Linked DNA regions of Arabidopsis thaliana. The protein of the gene in region 2 purifies or fractionates together with the protein of the main gene of each other region. This does not show direct contact. Each region holds a gene or a part of one and is shown on either strand. Other genes may lie near its edges. The genes, in order: ATCS, AT2G12200 and CSY5.

Region 1 (7,057 bases), about 13 Mb from region 2:
AATATCCAAGATCAAACCCAAGATTCGCATAATCCATATATTTGCACCGGAGGTCATCAAGACCGACGTCAAGAACTTTCGTTCACTCGTCCAGAGTCTAACCGGGAAACCGGCACCGGGAGAAGCCAAAACCGGTAAAAAGAGAGCCAAATCAAGAATTACGACTCCCCAAGAACCGGTTTGCGATGATCATCAGCCGGTCAACAGGCTTTCGGGTTTCACCGGTTTACTAGCAAACGGAGGAAACCACCAGGTGAAAGAAGAGTGGGGATCAGGTGATCAGAGTACTTCGAACACAAACACGTACTTTGATCTAGAAGGTTTAATTCAAGATGTCGGAGAAGATTACTTCTCTTCGTTTCCCATGAGATCCTCTTCTTCTTCACAAGTCGAAGGTTTCATCTTCAACAACAACAACAACAACAACAACAACAACAACAACAACAACAACAACAACACCAACTTCGATACAAAGGCTCATAATTCGTCTTAATTAATAACAGATTAATTTCTAGGGTTTTCAATCTTATTGATTCTGCAAATCGCATTTGGTGAGATGAGATCTAATCGCAACGATAAGGTCATATTTTGTGGGAGAAAAAAGGCATAGAAGTTGTATATAGATATAACAAATGGGTATGATGAGAGACATAAACTTTTGGCGGGACTGACTTTGCCAAGGTTGAGAGTTGTGATGAAGAGAGTTTAATCTACGTGCAGCCCTTCTAGGAGAAGTGGCTGTATCTAATTAAGATGTGGTCGGTCAAAAAAGCCCTAGTTTTATTATGTAACTTCATTGATGTGCTATTATTGGATGTGTATTAATTCTTTGGTGTGCAGATAAATGTGATGATTGCTGTACTTTAATTTTGGGGAAAAAGTTTGTATGGAATTAGAACAAGGATCGACTTGTTTTCGATATAGATACTCTGATTGATTGTGTATATTGAATATCGATACTTACATAACGGTTATTCGGTTAAAGTACAGTTACACTAATTAAATTAAACTGTAAGTTAACAAGAATATTCTGGCTCAAGCTAAATTATTTTTTTTATTATTATTGTTTACTAATCTTTTGTTACAAATGTTGAAAATGATATTTATTATACATGTAGTACTTCAACTAAAATAAATAACGTGTTTTCATATTTGATGTACGTGTATAATATATCATTTTCAACAGTGAGTAATATTAACCCTTTTATCAAAATAAAGTAAAACAAAATGATATAACCTATCAACAAAATGCAAAGAAAATTGATCCGAACCGAATATAGCCGTAACGGTACACCAAAATTGTTTTGAGATTTTAGTGTCCGTTGACCTTTTCATATAAAGCCAAATTATTCGGTCTGGTTTCCAAAAGAACGAAAAGGTATATGATTACGGTTTACTCCCTTGCTTCTGTGTTTTGGTTTAGTTTGGTTTACCTTCTCAAAGTTCTCGAACGTCAACATTTATTTTATCTTATTTTGTAAGGTTCTGCACATGTTATACTTATTAATTAGTCTACTTTTTCAGGCATTGGGATTATTTGTTTTAGTCTAAATCGGTTTTGGTTGCATAATATTGGATGAAAACATTGTAAAGGACAATTTCAAACCTGACTTTTCTAGATTTGGAAACGTTCCGGCTGCTTGAAAAGCTCACATAAATATTAGTATGATTTCTTAAACCAAAAATAAATGATGATTATCAACAATACCGTAAATAAGGCAAAGGAAATAAATGATGATTATCAACAATTGCCGAAAATAACCACACCGGTACACCGAAATTGTTTTTGAGATTCATAAAACCGGAATAATACGCCTAAAGGTTATTTTCTCCAATACCGGTTTAGTTTGGTTTGCCTTCTCAAAGTACTCGAAGGTCAAAATTGGAATTTAGTAATAAACCTGCTCCAGCTATATACAAATGTCATTTGCTCACCTTTCGCCGATTGATTTTGTACATCACACGCAGACGCAGCTTTTAGTATTTTTTTCAACAATCGCTTTTTTTTTTCTCGATCTCCGTGAAGCTCTCGAATCTCTGGTATGTTTCTTCGCTTCTTCATAGTGTTTCTCATTTCCTTTTGGTCTTCCATAATTTTCGGAGAATCTAGTCCTGTTTTTCTCTTCTTCTGGAATCTGAATTCGCCGGTGAATTCCGCTGATCGAATCTCTGAGTTTTGTTGAATTATTTGATTCGGCGATAAAACTTTTTTTGTTTGTTTCTGATTTTGGTGAGTGTTGATTGCTTGAGTTTTTTCACGGATCGATTTGTTTTGAGAATTGGGTGGATACTGTCTGTCACAGGTTTTGAGTTTTGGAGAATGGTGTTTTTCCGCAGCGTATCGGCCTTTACTAGGCTGAGGTCTCGCGTCGTAAGTATTTGAAAATTTTGTTTCCAGTTTTGTGTTTGTTCTCGTTTGATCTCGCTGGTTCATGCTAATCGATTGATTGGTGATCGAATCTATGTAAGCAGGGCCAACAATCTTCACTCAGCAATTCTGTCAGATGGATTCAGATGCAGAGCTCTACCGACCTGGTAAATCATCTCCGTTGCTTCGTACTTTCGTGTGTGATCGTGATCATGTAGTTTTCATGATCATGATCATATGTAAGTTTAATATTGGTTTGGGATCTGCTGCTTGTGGGGTCTTTGTTCATTTTGTTTAAATGGTGGCAATGCAGGACCTGAAGTCGCAGCTGCAAGAGTTAATTCCGGAACAGCAGGTTAGATTAGACTCTGTTTGCTTTAAATGAAAATTTGTGTTGTTGACTTTTTTTTTTCATTGAATGTGTGTATTATTTGTTATGTTAGCTGAGATTGTTAAGTTAAGAAGGCAGGCTAGTTGTAGTGAATCTCTTTGCTTTTCTAGTTTCCTCTTTTCTCACAAGAATTTTCCAATTTCAGGACCGTCTGAAGAAACTGAAGTCAGAACATGGGAAGGTCCAACTGGGAAACATCACTGTTGATATGGTAGAAACAATCATGATTTTCACGTTTTTGGTTTGTTTATATGATTTTCACCTTCCATTGCATAACTCATCATAATCCCCTTTGAAATAAAGGTTATTGGTGGAATGAGAGGGATGACTGGATTGCTTTGGGAAACCTCATTGCTTGACCCGGAAGAGGTACTGTATAACTCTCTGTATATAGTTACAATAGCTTGGTTAGATCCTAGATATAGAATATATCAAATGCTCCTCCTTCCTGTTCTAAGGCTGTTGATGCAATTATCTTATCATTATTTCAGGGTATTCGCTTTAGGGGATTGTCGATTCCTGAGTGCCAGAAAGTATTACCTACTGCCCAGTCTGGAGCTGAACCATTACCGGAGGGTCTTTTGTGGCTTCTCTTAACTGGAAAGGTGTGGCTCTTCTGTACATTATTATAAGTTGGTTCTGGATATGTCCAGTCGATTAGTTTTCCTCAATAGATTATCTTATGATATCCTTTTTTACCCTTTTTCGTATAGGTACCTAGCAAAGAGCAAGTTGAAGCACTGTCGAAAGACTTGGCGAACCGTGCTGCTGTGCCAGGTTTGGATATTACCTTTTTCGCTCTGGCTGTTGCAAATAAAGGAGTCTGTTTATTGGCTCATTCAAACTTGTTTGACATCAATGCTTACAAGAAATTGCTTAACAGAAATGAAATAAATTTGTGGGTTTTGTGTTATACTTTCATTCATTCTTAACTTGTATCCAATTTTTATACAGATTATGTGTACAATGCCATCGATGCTCTGCCTTCCACAGCTCATCCAATGACTCAATTTGCTAGCGGTGTTATGGCCCTCCAGGTGTGGTTCTCTAAACTCGTATTGTTGTTTCTGTTCTTCTTGTGATAAGCGTTGGAAACTTATTGTTTTTTTTGGCTATAAGTAAACAATTTTCAGCAGAATGATAATTTTCTTTACCTAATATCCAGGTGCAAAGTGAGTTTCAAAAGGCATATGAGAATGGAATTCATAAGTCAAAGTATGCTTTTGGGGTTCTGATTTAGTTCATGATAGCGTTTCATATTAGCTGGCATCATAACAAAGATTTTTTCTTCCAGGTTCTGGGAGCCAACATATGAGGATTGCCTCAACCTGATTGCTCGTGTTCCTGTTGTAGCTGCATATGTTTATCGAAGGTTAGTGAAGACTCTTTTTGTACTCTTTTTCATGTTTCTTGTAGCTTCTGGATTTTCGGCAATGATTTTTTTTTTATTGGAAAATTTGCCATCTCTTGTTTTTGCTTTGTATTGACTGTTGACCTTTTCCATGCATCATTGCAGGATGTATAAGAATGGTGATTCCATTCCCTCAGATAAATCTTTGGATTATGGTGCAAATTTTTCCCACATGTTGGGATTTGATGATGAAAAGGTGAAAGAGCTCATGAGGCTTTACATCACCATCCACAGGTCTGTATTAATTTTCGTCACCCATGCATGTCTCCTTAAATAAGCTTAATTATCTTGTAAATTTGTTTGTTCTTTTTAAGACTTTAAATAGACCTTTGTATAACATTTTGCTTTTCTACTATTTTTTGCTCTAGTGATCATGAAGGTGGAAATGTTAGTGCTCACACTGGTCACCTGGTATGTATATACTCTCCATGTGTCAATTTTAAAGGATTGACCTACCTGAAGTTTCTAATGGTTCTTTTGCTAAAAATTCTTGTTCATGTAGGTTGGTAGTGCACTTTCAGACCCATATCTGTCATTTGCAGCTGCATTAAATGGTTTAGCTGGGCCACTCCATGGTTTGGCTAATCAGGTATCCTCCCTTGTCTATATCTTGAATAAGTCTTAAATCTTCAATCTACAATAGAGCTTCGTAAGTGGCTTTTTGTATTTTATCTAGGTAGGTTGTGATAGTTTGATGATACAACCATAAATTGGAGAAAACAAATTCTTAGTCTTTTTTTATTATTGTTTCAACAGGAAGTTTTGCTTTGGATCAAATCAGTCGTAGAGGAATGTGGAGAAGATATATCAAAAGAACAGTTGAAAGAATATGTTTGGAAAACATTAAACAGTGGCAAGGTAAAAACAGGAAATTCCTCTGCCTTGACATTCTTTACTTTCTGGTCTTGTACCTGAATCCCACTTTTGAAGCCAGCCAACAAGACTGATGGAGCATGCGAAAATGAATTAACATCTTGTCTACTAGTCATCATAATAGGCTAATATTTCAATTTATTGTGTGATACTGTTATGGGTCCTCTTATTTACGACCTCATAGTTTGGTCAGTTGCTCTAACTGCTCCTAGTAAGTAATACTGCCATAAGAGCTTTGGATCCTGTTTTTCCCTATCCTAGTTTACCTTGTGGATGTAATGTTACAAGGATAGTCTAATGATGATCTATTGACGAGTCTTGTTTTGTCTCTAGGTTATTCCGGGATATGGTCACGGTGTTCTGCGCAATACTGATCCAAGATATGTATGCCAAAGAGAATTTGCCTTGAAGCATCTACCTGACGACCCTCTTTTCCAGCTGGTACTTTTTTTCTTTCTCTTTTCTCTTTTCTGTTCGGTTCTCAAAATTCTATCAATGTTCAGTAGCTAACAAAATCCTTCCAACTCTGTAGGTGTCAAAGCTTTATGAAGTTGTGCCTCCTGTTCTCACTGAGCTTGGAAAGGTAGTATCTCTATCCTTCGTTTACCATGGTGATCCTTCAATATTCCACCAACAACTCCACAACACCTTACCTACATGCTAGGGGCTTATGAATCTCTTGCGAATCAATTTTTTATTTACTTGCGAATCCGATGATGGCTTGTTACAGGTGAAGAACCCGTGGCCAAATGTTGATGCTCACAGTGGGGTCTTGCTGAACCACTATGGTCTAACCGAAGCAAGGTAAGAAGTAGACACCTCCTTCAAGTATCATTGAGCCTTAGGATAGCACTCAAATATAATATCTGTGCGTTTTATAGGTACTACACCGTGCTCTTTGGTGTTTCAAGGAGTCTTGGCATCTGCTCTCAGGTAACATATATATATTTACACATTACGCCTTTGTTACTACATAACATTTAAAACAGAACTCATATGCTCTCCATTCTCATTTGTGTTTAATTCACAGCTTATATGGGACCGAGCTCTTGGACTTGCACTTGAGAGGCCAAAGAGTGTTACCATGGACTGGCTTGAAGCCCATTGTAAGAAAGCTTCATCTGCTTAAGTCACCACCGAGTCCTGAGTTGTCGCACTCTCTCGTGTTTCAACAAAAGTCATTCTCTTCCACACTGGATAGCTTTTTTTGTTTTTACCTTCTATTGACAGAAGAAACATTTGTTCATGTAGAAATTGTTCCTGAGAAACACATGCTTGGTGCAAATTTGCATTTCCGGGAAACTCGTGATAATAAATAAACAGTTGTATTCAGTTTGCGTAAAAATCAAACATCAATATCACTCATGAATTAAAGCTTATCTTGGTTTTGATATACATAAAAGAAACAAGACTGCAAAATAGAAAACTTCGACATGAGTTTATCAAAAAGAAAATGGGATTAAGAGCTGCTGGTATTGTCGGTAGTAGTCTCCTTGTTAGAAAGGTCATCATCATCAGCAAGAGAGGCTGTGAAGTTGAGTCTCTCTTCGGCGCCGGCAGTGATAACCGGCATCCAAACATCAGCTGTGCCGCTAAGAAGCGTCTGAACCTGTGGATCAGAAGCTATAGCTGATGATATCATCTCATCCACATCATCTAACTTTGCTGATAACTTGTCCAATTCCTTAGCTATCTCCACCTGAAAACACAAACAATCACACACAAAGCCTCAGATTTACATTACAATGTGTACCAGATATATGAGTGAACACAGGATACAGACCTCATTGAGGTGTTGAGCAGACTTTGATGGCACTTTAGTGACTTCTAAACCAAGAGCTTCAATCTTAGAACGTAGCTCAACCTCTTCTGTATTTGTCAATGATTCTACCTAAGAAACAAAAATCATCAGTAGGCAACAAAATCATCTGTATTTGTCAATGTTGTAGTAACAATTAGTGTCCATTAACAACAATATCAAAAAGCTCTTGCCCTTTTATTTTTTTGACGAATT
Region 2 (2,823 bases):
AAGAAAAAAGAAAAGTTTCACTTCCTAATTCCATTCAAATCACATTGCCCTAAATATAACAAATCGATGCATATAAACCCCAAAATCAAATCGTCACAAAGAACTAGGTCAAATTGAGAGTAAGACATGCCTTGATTTTGAGCTCAGTGGTGGCTGCGACAAGGTTAGAGCTCACTGGTGGCTGCGACAAGGTTAGAGCTCACTGGTGGCTGCAAAATGAAAGTCGATTCTATGAGATTAGGTCAAAATGCGAGAAAGATGGAAGCTGAAATGGATTAATAAGGAATAAGGAAGAAAGACTAACCTTGAATTTGAGCTCAACGGTGGCTGAGCTGGAGAATGTGGCGGCGGAGAATCCGAATTTCTGGCCAGCGACAGATCTTAGCTTTTAGGTTGAATCGATTTTGGGAGTGGATTCGACAGATCTAAGGCAAAAGTGAATAATTTTGGTCTTCTCGATTTTCTTAGGTTTTCACGAAGCTGTAGAGGGAAGTGAATAGTTTTGCTTAAGTGTTGGCGCTGAAGTGAATAATTTTACCTAAGTGTTGGCGGACTAAAGTATTTTACATTCCCGCTAGAGGATTTACGGTCTTAGCGTTTATAAGGTGCTATTAAAAAGTAACCAAAAATTTTATTCATCTTTTATAGCAGTTGAGGAAAATGAGCTATCCTCTACTGCTATCAATGAGGACTTTTTTTGTAGTGTATATGAAACCAGCTCCAATGCTTCCTCTAACATCCCGAATTGGCAATACAAACCCTGAAGGTGCTCTTTTCTTTGATGTATCATGTGAGAATGAGTACTGCGTTTTCGACATGCATATGGGAAGATTCGAGAAGCCTTGTTGTGTGTACATCTCAATCTGTTTATGTGCCTGTATGAGCAATTTTCAATCTAAAACATGTTAATAATAAATCTTATAAGTAATTTTCAATAATATTTTAGTAAAGAAAACTATCAAAGGTCTCTTTGGAATGGTGTATGTTTGAATTAAAAAGAAAACAACAAACAGTAATTATTATGTGGATATTTAAGGGGAACTAAAAATAATAATATAGTCCTCCCCCAAGTCCTTTAAATTTTCTTGAGAGGAGTCACAATTGAGCCATGTTCAGAAGATATATGTTTTAGAACACCAAGAAAAATATCTTTGAACACTAAGATGTCAGTTTAATGGATCGTGAAAGTCTTTGGACCCTACGACTGGTTTATGATGAACTTGTTTGTAGGGAGATGCGATTTTGACTCAACTCAGGTCTAAGTATCATCCGGAAAGCTCATCCCCCTTTAATTTGAAGATGAAAGTCTTAATATGAGTTATGAAAAAAAAACTTTTGAAAAAGATATATTGGCAAGTGTTTTAAATAAAGTGCATAGTCAATCTTAATGGTAAATTTTCTTAGAGAATGGCTTCTTTCTTCGATCTCTTTGACTAATGTGGTGCTTCAAGTTTTCTTCCCTAGTTCTAGCTTCCTAGTATTCTTCGTTTTTGTAATTTAAAATTTTCATTACTTAGTCCGGTTTTTAAGAATTATTTTCTATAATGTTTAATTTGTAAACAGTGCCGGTTTAAATAGAGGGGCAAGCGGTGCGACAGCCAAGAATCCAAACCCATGTTTTAACAATTAAGGGACATATATTTTTTAAAAAATATTTTTAAAAATTAGATATAACACAAAAATAAAATTTAGAATGGACCTATAATTTTTTTAATGCATTTTTTTTTTTTTTGTTAACTAAATTATCATACAAAAAATTTTATAACAAAATATAAAAAAAAATTATCCTACACCCATGAAATTGTTGAGCGGACACTGTTTGTAAACATATGTACGAAAATGGGTTTTAGCTAATGCGGGGGTAAAAAAATCTTGTCAAATATTTAGAGAAAAATACTGTTTTATAAATAAAAAATACTGGTTGACATCGTTTAAAATTTTGAAAACTTCTCGATTTCAAAGTTTCATCAAAGACAATACTTAGCTTTTTGGGTTAAAGTCTTCATATGTCTTTCAAGAAAAGATCTTGAACTCATTAAAACAAAATAGAAGTGATAATAAAATAAAGATTATAAATCTCAAATGACACACGTAAATTGATGATGTCATAAAAATCCATGATAGCTGTTGTTTTGTTTGTACTCTAGTAATGTAAATTGTAAAGCATAAAAGTAACTAAAATATCTTATGCCTTTCACACGTAGAGCCCAAAACCCTTCCGAGCTAAGTAATCTCGTGACTTGTGAGGCACAAAATTATCTCACTTGATTTTCTCAAATTTTAGAATAGATTTTTATTTTCTAAAAAACTAAAAAACTTGATAATATTATGTGGACGAGTATATCTTATAATTTATAGGGTTATATCCAGATTTAAATCTGGATTAGGAACTGTAAAAGGCAAAAAAAAAAAAAAATACATTAAAAACAAAATAAATACGTGGACAATAATAAATAAAATAACTCTCATTAGTGATGAATGCCCATCATGAAGCCGTGGAAGATTTCCAGGATTGGGAGCCATGTCGTTACTCCACGTACCATGGAGAGATGGAAACAAATAATGGAGTGAACAGAGACTATGTTCGTGAGGATGTGGCAGCGGATAGGGGCAAACGCAAGAGAGAGGACACCATCGAAGAAGATGAAGAACACGAGCCTTCTAAGATGGTGATCCGTGAGGCTGGGGAAAGCAGTGGTTGCTCCGGAGAGACGGTTCAGCCGAATGACGTGGGGAGAGGCGCGGTGGGCCCAGAACCCCCTCTTCCTCCATGAGGACAGCCGCTTGGAACTGCAGAGGACTGGGCAATGACCTCGCAGTTCG
Region 3 (6,386 bases), on a different chromosome or scaffold from region 2:
CCGAGGATGCCGTACGGCTTAAGCAAGTCAAGTCCATCACATACTTGAGTTGGAATTGTATGTTTCTCTTGCACCACTGGACTGGCCATGACAAGGAAGACTAGGATATGTTCTAATAATATATTTCCTGTCCTAGCTAGAAACCTCTGCTCTCGGTTTCTAATAATTCTCGGTAACAGGATCCAGCGACTCCTCTGAAAGTTAGAGAAAACTTGTGAGGAAGAAGACTCAAAATCAATTTCGCATTTCTGGCTTTTTGTGATTACGAAGAGTCTTATACTTAGCCAAATATCTGAAGGTTTAGAAGAGAACACGTTGCATCTTACTGTTCACTGAAGATAGCAAATGTGTTTTGTAGAATCATCATAAAGCTTCGTAGGGAGCTTCTTAAGATAGGAGGAAGCTTCTGTTTGATCCCGAGGCTTTGAATTTCTTGACTCTGCTTCTGTTCACTTCAAACACTCTGTTTGAGCGGGACTGGTTGCATGAGTATTGTTTATTATGCGATAATTCACCAAAGACTAATCAATACATATCAATGGTCATCATTTGTCTATCAAAGTTGAGGAACAATAATATGGTGTCTCAATCTGAGAAAGACTGTTTCTTTACTTGTTTGACTTTATTGTTTTTGCAGAAGAACCAAAATGAAAACTCTGTAGAACAAAATTTCGACGAAAAATCGTTTTTTTTTTATCTCTAAAAGCTACCCAATCAAATGGAAGAGAAGGCTGAAGTGATAAAAGAGAGAACCTTGACCAACATCAGTCAGGGATTAACTTAGCGGTTCAAGCGCGTGAAGTTATCGAGCCAGTCCATGTTTACACTCTTTGGTCTCTCAAGTGGCAGTCCAAGTGCCCTGTCCCATATCAGCTGAAACAGAAAAGGAATAAAAGATTAGTCTGACTTTATTGTGAAGGATATGGCGATACGTACTAAAATCGAATTGTCGATGGCATGAATGTATGTATGTACCTGCGAGCAGATTCCAAGACTTCTTGAGACGCCAAAAAGCACCGTGTAGTATCTATATTTGAAAGGAATGTCACTCTATAATAACCAAGATTCAGCAAAACAAGGTCAAAGCCTCGATACACAAGTAGTTCCTACCTTGCTTCGGTTAGACCATAGTAGTTCAGAAGCACTCCGCTATGAGCATCAACGTTAGGCCACGGGTTCTTGACCTGATACAGCAATTTCAAGATTCATAAAACCAGAGAAAATCAGAAAATCTGGTAGCACATGAAATGAATGAGTATAAGTAGTACCTTTCCCAGCTCGGTTAGAATAGGAGGCACCACTTCATAAAGTTTTGAGACCTATAGACTTGCATAATTTGTGAGCCAGTAAAATTTTAAAGCATGACCAAAGATTTGAGGGGGAAAAAAAGTTACCAGCTGAAAAAGAGGATCATCAGGTAGATGCTTCAAGGCAAACTCTCTTTGGCATATATATCTTGGATCCGTTTTACGCAAAACACCATGGCCATATCCTGGAACAACCTGCAAGACAAATGTTTATTTAAGTTTCCTGACAACATTCACAGGCAAACCCCATAATCAAAACATAATCCGAAGCTTTTATTCATTATTTATACAATAATTCAAGTTATGGCCTGTCATGATTAGCATGCAATACATATGGATAGTTTCAAAAGGCAAAGCAGAGCATAATTTTGTCAACCTTGCCACTGTTTAACGTTTTCCAGACATAATCTTTTAGCTGTTCCTTTGATATACTTTCTCCACATTCCTCAACAACTAATTTGATCCACAGCAAAACTTCCTACAACAAGACAACGAAAAAAAACAGAGTAAGATTCCAAGTTTAAGCTTATAATTAAGAGTCAATCTTAGAGTTCAAGTTATATACACTTGTAGATTCGAACAATATAAGACTCATTAAGGATATAAATACCTGATTAGCCAAACCATGGAGTGGCCCAGCTAAACCATTCAATGCAGCAGCAAATGAAAGATATGGATCTGAAAGTGCACTCCCAACCTAAGTGAAGAAACATCATTAGCCAAAAACAGAACCATCAGAAATGTCTATAAGTTCAAAACATTATCATGCATCAAGATCATGTGGCAAATACATACCAGGTGACCAGCGTGAGCACTAACATTTCCACCTTCATGATCACTAAAACAGAAACCAGTAGACAAGGGAAAAAAAAACCTTGATCATGCTATAGAAATTTGGTAAGAGTTGGTAAAATAAAGGAAGATCATCATTATATACAAGAAAACTTTAGCTTATGTATTCTAATTAATGAGACATGTTGAAACGAAGAGAACCAGGACTAACCTGTGGATAGTGACATAAAGCCTCATGAGCTCTTTCATCTGAGGACTATCAAATCCCAGCATGTGTGAAAAATTTGCACCATAATCCAAAGAATCATCTAATGGAATGATGCTACCATCCTTGTACATCCTGCAATGTGAATTAGAATGGACATTGAAAAATAACACTCTGAAGAAAGGAAAATCTAAGAAAATTAACTAGTCCAGGAAGCTAAAAGCATTGGAAAAGATCCTAAAATTTAACCTCCGATAAACGTATGAAGCTACAACAGGAACACGAGCAATCAAGTTTAGGGCATCTTCGAAGGTTGGTTCCCAGTACCTGACAAGAAACCTCAGTTTCTATGATGCCTACTACTATAAGCCAATCAAGAAACAAAGTATAGAACTATTGAAAGTTTATACTTTGACTTAGAAATATCACCCTGCTCATACGCCTTTTGAAACTCACTTTGAACCTGAATAACAATCAACAAGATAAGATGCTCCTGAAAATAAACAAATTCTAAGAGAATGCATAGAAAAAAAAAATAGTACATAACAGAGCAATCCACCTGAAGGGCCATAACACCACTAGCAAATTGAGTCATTGGATGAGCTGTTGAAGGCAAAGCATCTATAGCTTTGTATATATAATCTGCAATGGAGAGTTGTTATATTTGCAACATCATAATATCCAGTTTATAATTATCATCAGCTTGTATTTTGCTAAGTTTTGATGAGTCATGAAACTGAGGTCATAAACAAACAGAGCCTAGAGGTGAACTACAAACCTGGCACAGCCGCACGATGAGCCAACTCTGTTGACAAAGCATTAGCTTGCTCTTTAGTTGGCACCTATACCGAAAGGAGGGAAAACTATACTTTAGATCATTCATATATAAAGTTGAAACTTATTGTATGTATAAAATGTTTTAAGATTATCACACCTTTCCAGTTAATAGAAGCCACAGAAGACTCTCAGGCAAGGGCTCTTCTCCAGACTCAGCTGAAGGTAATATTTTCTGACATTCAGGAATCGACATGCCTCTAAACCGTATTCCCTGATACAAAAGATAATATCATATGTTATATAATTCTAATTCAAGATCTGACCTGAAAATTATCTATGTGATCAAAATTATAACCATACCTCATCTGCATCAAGCAATGAGGTTTCCCAGAGTAATCCAGTCATCCCTCTCATTCCACCAAGTACCTTCACAAATACCACATGTAAAACTATATATACGAGTATGTTTAAAAGATAAAGCCTTTGTGTAATCACAAATATCATTAGAATCCGTACCATATCAACGGTGATGTTCCCCACTGGAACCTTTCCTTGTTCTGATTTCAGTTTCTTCAAACGGTCCTGAAAGTTGAAAGTTGTGTTTGTGTATGAGAAATGACATCAACTAAAACAGAGAGAAGAGCTTGATCTCTACATGAAATCTGCCCTAAAATTAGAAACAATCTCAATCACAACGAAGTAGAAACTAAACCTGTTGTTCTGGAATGATCTCTTGCATCTGCGACTTCAAGTCCTGCATTACCATCATTTTAAGCAACATCAACACAAAACCTAGAAGGTAAAATTCCAAATTTTTGGTTCTCAAACTGAACCGCATGATCACGAGAACATGAAAACCTAAGAAAGTACCAATTCAGAAGAGTGGAGCCATCTGACGGAGTTACTAAGTGAGGATTGTTGCACCTGTGCTTCTTATATTAGATCTGATCATCAAATTGTATCACATCAAACAAAACACAAAAAGGATGAAAGCTAAATCTACTCACTGCTCGAGACCGTAGTCTTGAAATGGCTGATACGCTGCGAAAAAACACCATTCTTTCAAACCTCACAACACTGATCGGTTACGAATCCAAACAATCAAGATTGGCTTAACCAGATAAGAGATAAAGGGAAAGAGAAAGCGTGGAGAAGAACTAACGGGAAATTCGAAAGTTTCTTCAACGTAGAGAGAAAAATTGAGAGATGTTGAGATATATCTGCAACGTGATGAACAAGCGTCAAATTACAACATATGTAAACCAAACACACGGATTCTTCTTACCAAACCGGTATAATGAACCAATTGATTACCATTTAGAAAACCAAACGAACAGGTTATGTTCGGGTTCGGTTGAGATTGGTTAGTTCCGTCGGTCCGTGAGACGCAAGATTCGAAGCAGCCGTAACGATTCTAATGCCTAAAAAAACGGTCATTAATAAATAAAGAACAAATGGTATGTAGCTTTTGCTGTTGCTAAATAAAAAAGTAGCTTCTTGGTAAAGTCCAAGGGTTTAGATAAAACATAATTTTATTTTGTTGGAAATAAATAAAGTAAAAATGACATTTCACAATTGAAAAAAAAAGTTATAAACTTCGTTATTATAATTTCTTGGTCGAATGGGCGGTTTGATATTCTTCATTCTCCATTAGTTATCAGAAATTTTTATATTCTTTTGAAATACTATTTAATGATGTAACACAACTATTAACAATGATGGATATAGCTATAGCTAGTTAATATTAAAACATTGGATATCATATTATATGACACTATTGATCGTTATGTCATCCAAAAAATAAACTGATATTTCAATGAATGAGATTGGAAAAATATGACATATATCCATTACAACTCATTATAATCATATTACCATATCATTTTAATGTTTATGAAATGTGAGTCCACCTTTCATAATCTAACGTTTTGAGAAGTTAAAATGTAATTTAGCCATAAAGTTTTGAAGGTATATATCAAGAACATCGCCAATAAAACAGAACTTTATTCATTTATATATTCAAATCGAAACTCTTTTAGAGTCATGTAAGAATCATTTATCATTATAGTATTTCGTTAATTCAGTTTAATGGAATTCATTTTTGTTTTATCAAACAATTTGTTGTAAGTAACATGACTTATATATGAATTAACAAACAAAATAATTTGACGAAAAAAAATGAACAATCTAAAAAATTCAATCACAATATCATTCTCGCTTTTCTATATATAAAACTTGCACACGCACGCGTGAGTACAACGTTACACCATTTTTAAGTAGAGTTTTCACATGATCGGAGATCAAAACACAAACTTACTTTTTCTTGGCAAAATCAGTCTACAAACTCATCACTACACTCTTTCTTGGTAAATTAAGTCAGTCTAACAAATTAAATCAAAGGGCACCCAAGCCCAAAAAATCCAAACATTTGTACATATATACAAGTTATGTATGTTCCTACCTATATAGATGATCATCGTCTCAACCTTGGTCTTGTCTTGACCCATGTCTTGTTATGCTCCATATCGAATAAATGATCAAATCATCATCAAAACCAACAGGACTTACGATTAGTAGAAACCCTACATATTAGGGTAAGGTGTGACCAAACTAATTATTGTTGTTGAAGATCAAACCATCGACTTGAGAATATGTTGTCGTCTTCATCAAGATCGATCAAACCGTCAAAATCAAAGTAAGTATTTGTGTTTGAACTTGATCCCCATTCTTCCTTCACCACGTGGCTCCCTATTATTCTGTTGTCCAGTTCAGCCGTATGTTCTTGGCCGGAATCTTGAGGCAAACCCGGTGGCGCAGGAAAATTTGTGTTGGTTATCTTTTTCTTAGAACCGGTTTTGGTGATCTCCGGTTTCCCGGTTAGACTTTGGACGAGTGTGCGGAAGTTCTTGACATCGGTGTTGATGATCTCGGGAGCAAATATATGGATGATACGGATCTTAGGCTTGATCTTGGTTATTATTTGGGAGTTCTTGTTCATGGGAACCAAAGTTTTTGAATAATCACCATAAAAGGTTTGATGAGGAAGATGATCTATATCGTACTCAGCCTTCATAGAATTTCTCACCATATAAACGTAAAAAGAAGATGAAGAAGCGAAGATTTTGGGTTTTTCTTTTTTGGATTTCAGGTTTCTTGTATTGTTTTGGGAAATGATATGCATATGTTGTGGATTATATGTCTCTATATATATACACAAAAAAAACAAAATGTGAATATACAGTTTTATTGTTGGTTTGTAAAAAAACATTAATAAAATACTATTTCTTAAAGACAAACAAAATGAA

The links.
Region 1: the proteins of AT2G12200 (region 2) and ATCS fractionate together in Arabidopsis thaliana (co-fractionation; one large-scale study listed by BioGRID). This does not show direct contact.
Region 3: the proteins of AT2G12200 (region 2) and CSY5 fractionate together in Arabidopsis thaliana (co-fractionation; one large-scale study listed by BioGRID). This does not show direct contact.

The regions. Positions count from the first base shown.
Region 1 is NC_003071.7:18,314,353-18,321,409, forward strand, and holds ATCS (Citrate synthase family protein), read left to right. Parts: upstream 1-1,925; 5' UTR 1,926-2,040; intron 2,041-2,067; exon of another isoform or gene 2,068-2,230; intron 2,231-2,303; 5' UTR 2,304-2,320; coding exon 2,321-2,371; intron 2,372-2,469; coding exon 2,470-2,535; intron 2,536-2,681; coding exon 2,682-2,723; intron 2,724-2,904; coding exon 2,905-2,970; intron 2,971-3,062; coding exon 3,063-3,128; intron 3,129-3,250; coding exon 3,251-3,364; intron 3,365-3,472; coding exon 3,473-3,536; intron 3,537-3,713; coding exon 3,714-3,796; intron 3,797-3,924; coding exon 3,925-3,974; intron 3,975-4,053; coding exon 4,054-4,131; intron 4,132-4,275; coding exon 4,276-4,404; intron 4,405-4,538; coding exon 4,539-4,581; intron 4,582-4,672; coding exon 4,673-4,759; intron 4,760-4,926; coding exon 4,927-5,028; intron 5,029-5,376; coding exon 5,377-5,484; intron 5,485-5,575; coding exon 5,576-5,626; intron 5,627-5,773; coding exon 5,774-5,847; intron 5,848-5,924; and 5 more. Other genes in the region: AT2G44340 (VQ motif-containing protein), read left to right, coding at 1-493; AT2G44360 (ecotropic viral integration site protein), read right to left, coding at 6,503-6,742, 6,827-6,934.
Region 2 is NC_003071.7:4,898,685-4,901,507, reverse strand, and holds AT2G12200 (P-loop containing nucleoside triphosphate hydrolases superfamily protein), read right to left. Parts: upstream 896-2,823; 5' UTR 858-895; coding exon 693-857; intron 591-692; coding exon 564-590; downstream 1-563.
Region 3 is NC_003074.8:22,190,641-22,197,026, reverse strand, and holds CSY5 (citrate synthase 5), read right to left. Parts: upstream 4,298-6,386; 5' UTR 4,140-4,297; coding exon 4,089-4,139; intron 4,006-4,088; coding exon 3,952-4,005; intron 3,836-3,951; coding exon 3,794-3,835; intron 3,664-3,793; coding exon 3,598-3,663; intron 3,508-3,597; coding exon 3,442-3,507; intron 3,353-3,441; coding exon 3,239-3,352; intron 3,147-3,238; coding exon 3,083-3,146; intron 2,947-3,082; coding exon 2,864-2,946; intron 2,768-2,863; coding exon 2,715-2,767; intron 2,632-2,714; coding exon 2,554-2,631; intron 2,440-2,553; coding exon 2,311-2,439; intron 2,146-2,310; coding exon 2,103-2,145; intron 2,005-2,102; coding exon 1,918-2,004; intron 1,786-1,917; coding exon 1,684-1,785; intron 1,503-1,683; coding exon 1,395-1,502; intron 1,320-1,394; coding exon 1,269-1,319; intron 1,185-1,268; coding exon 1,111-1,184; intron 1,028-1,110; coding exon 976-1,027; intron 874-975; coding exon 781-873; 3' UTR 580-780; and 1 more. Other genes in the region: AT3G60090 (VQ motif-containing protein), read right to left, coding at 5,696-6,169.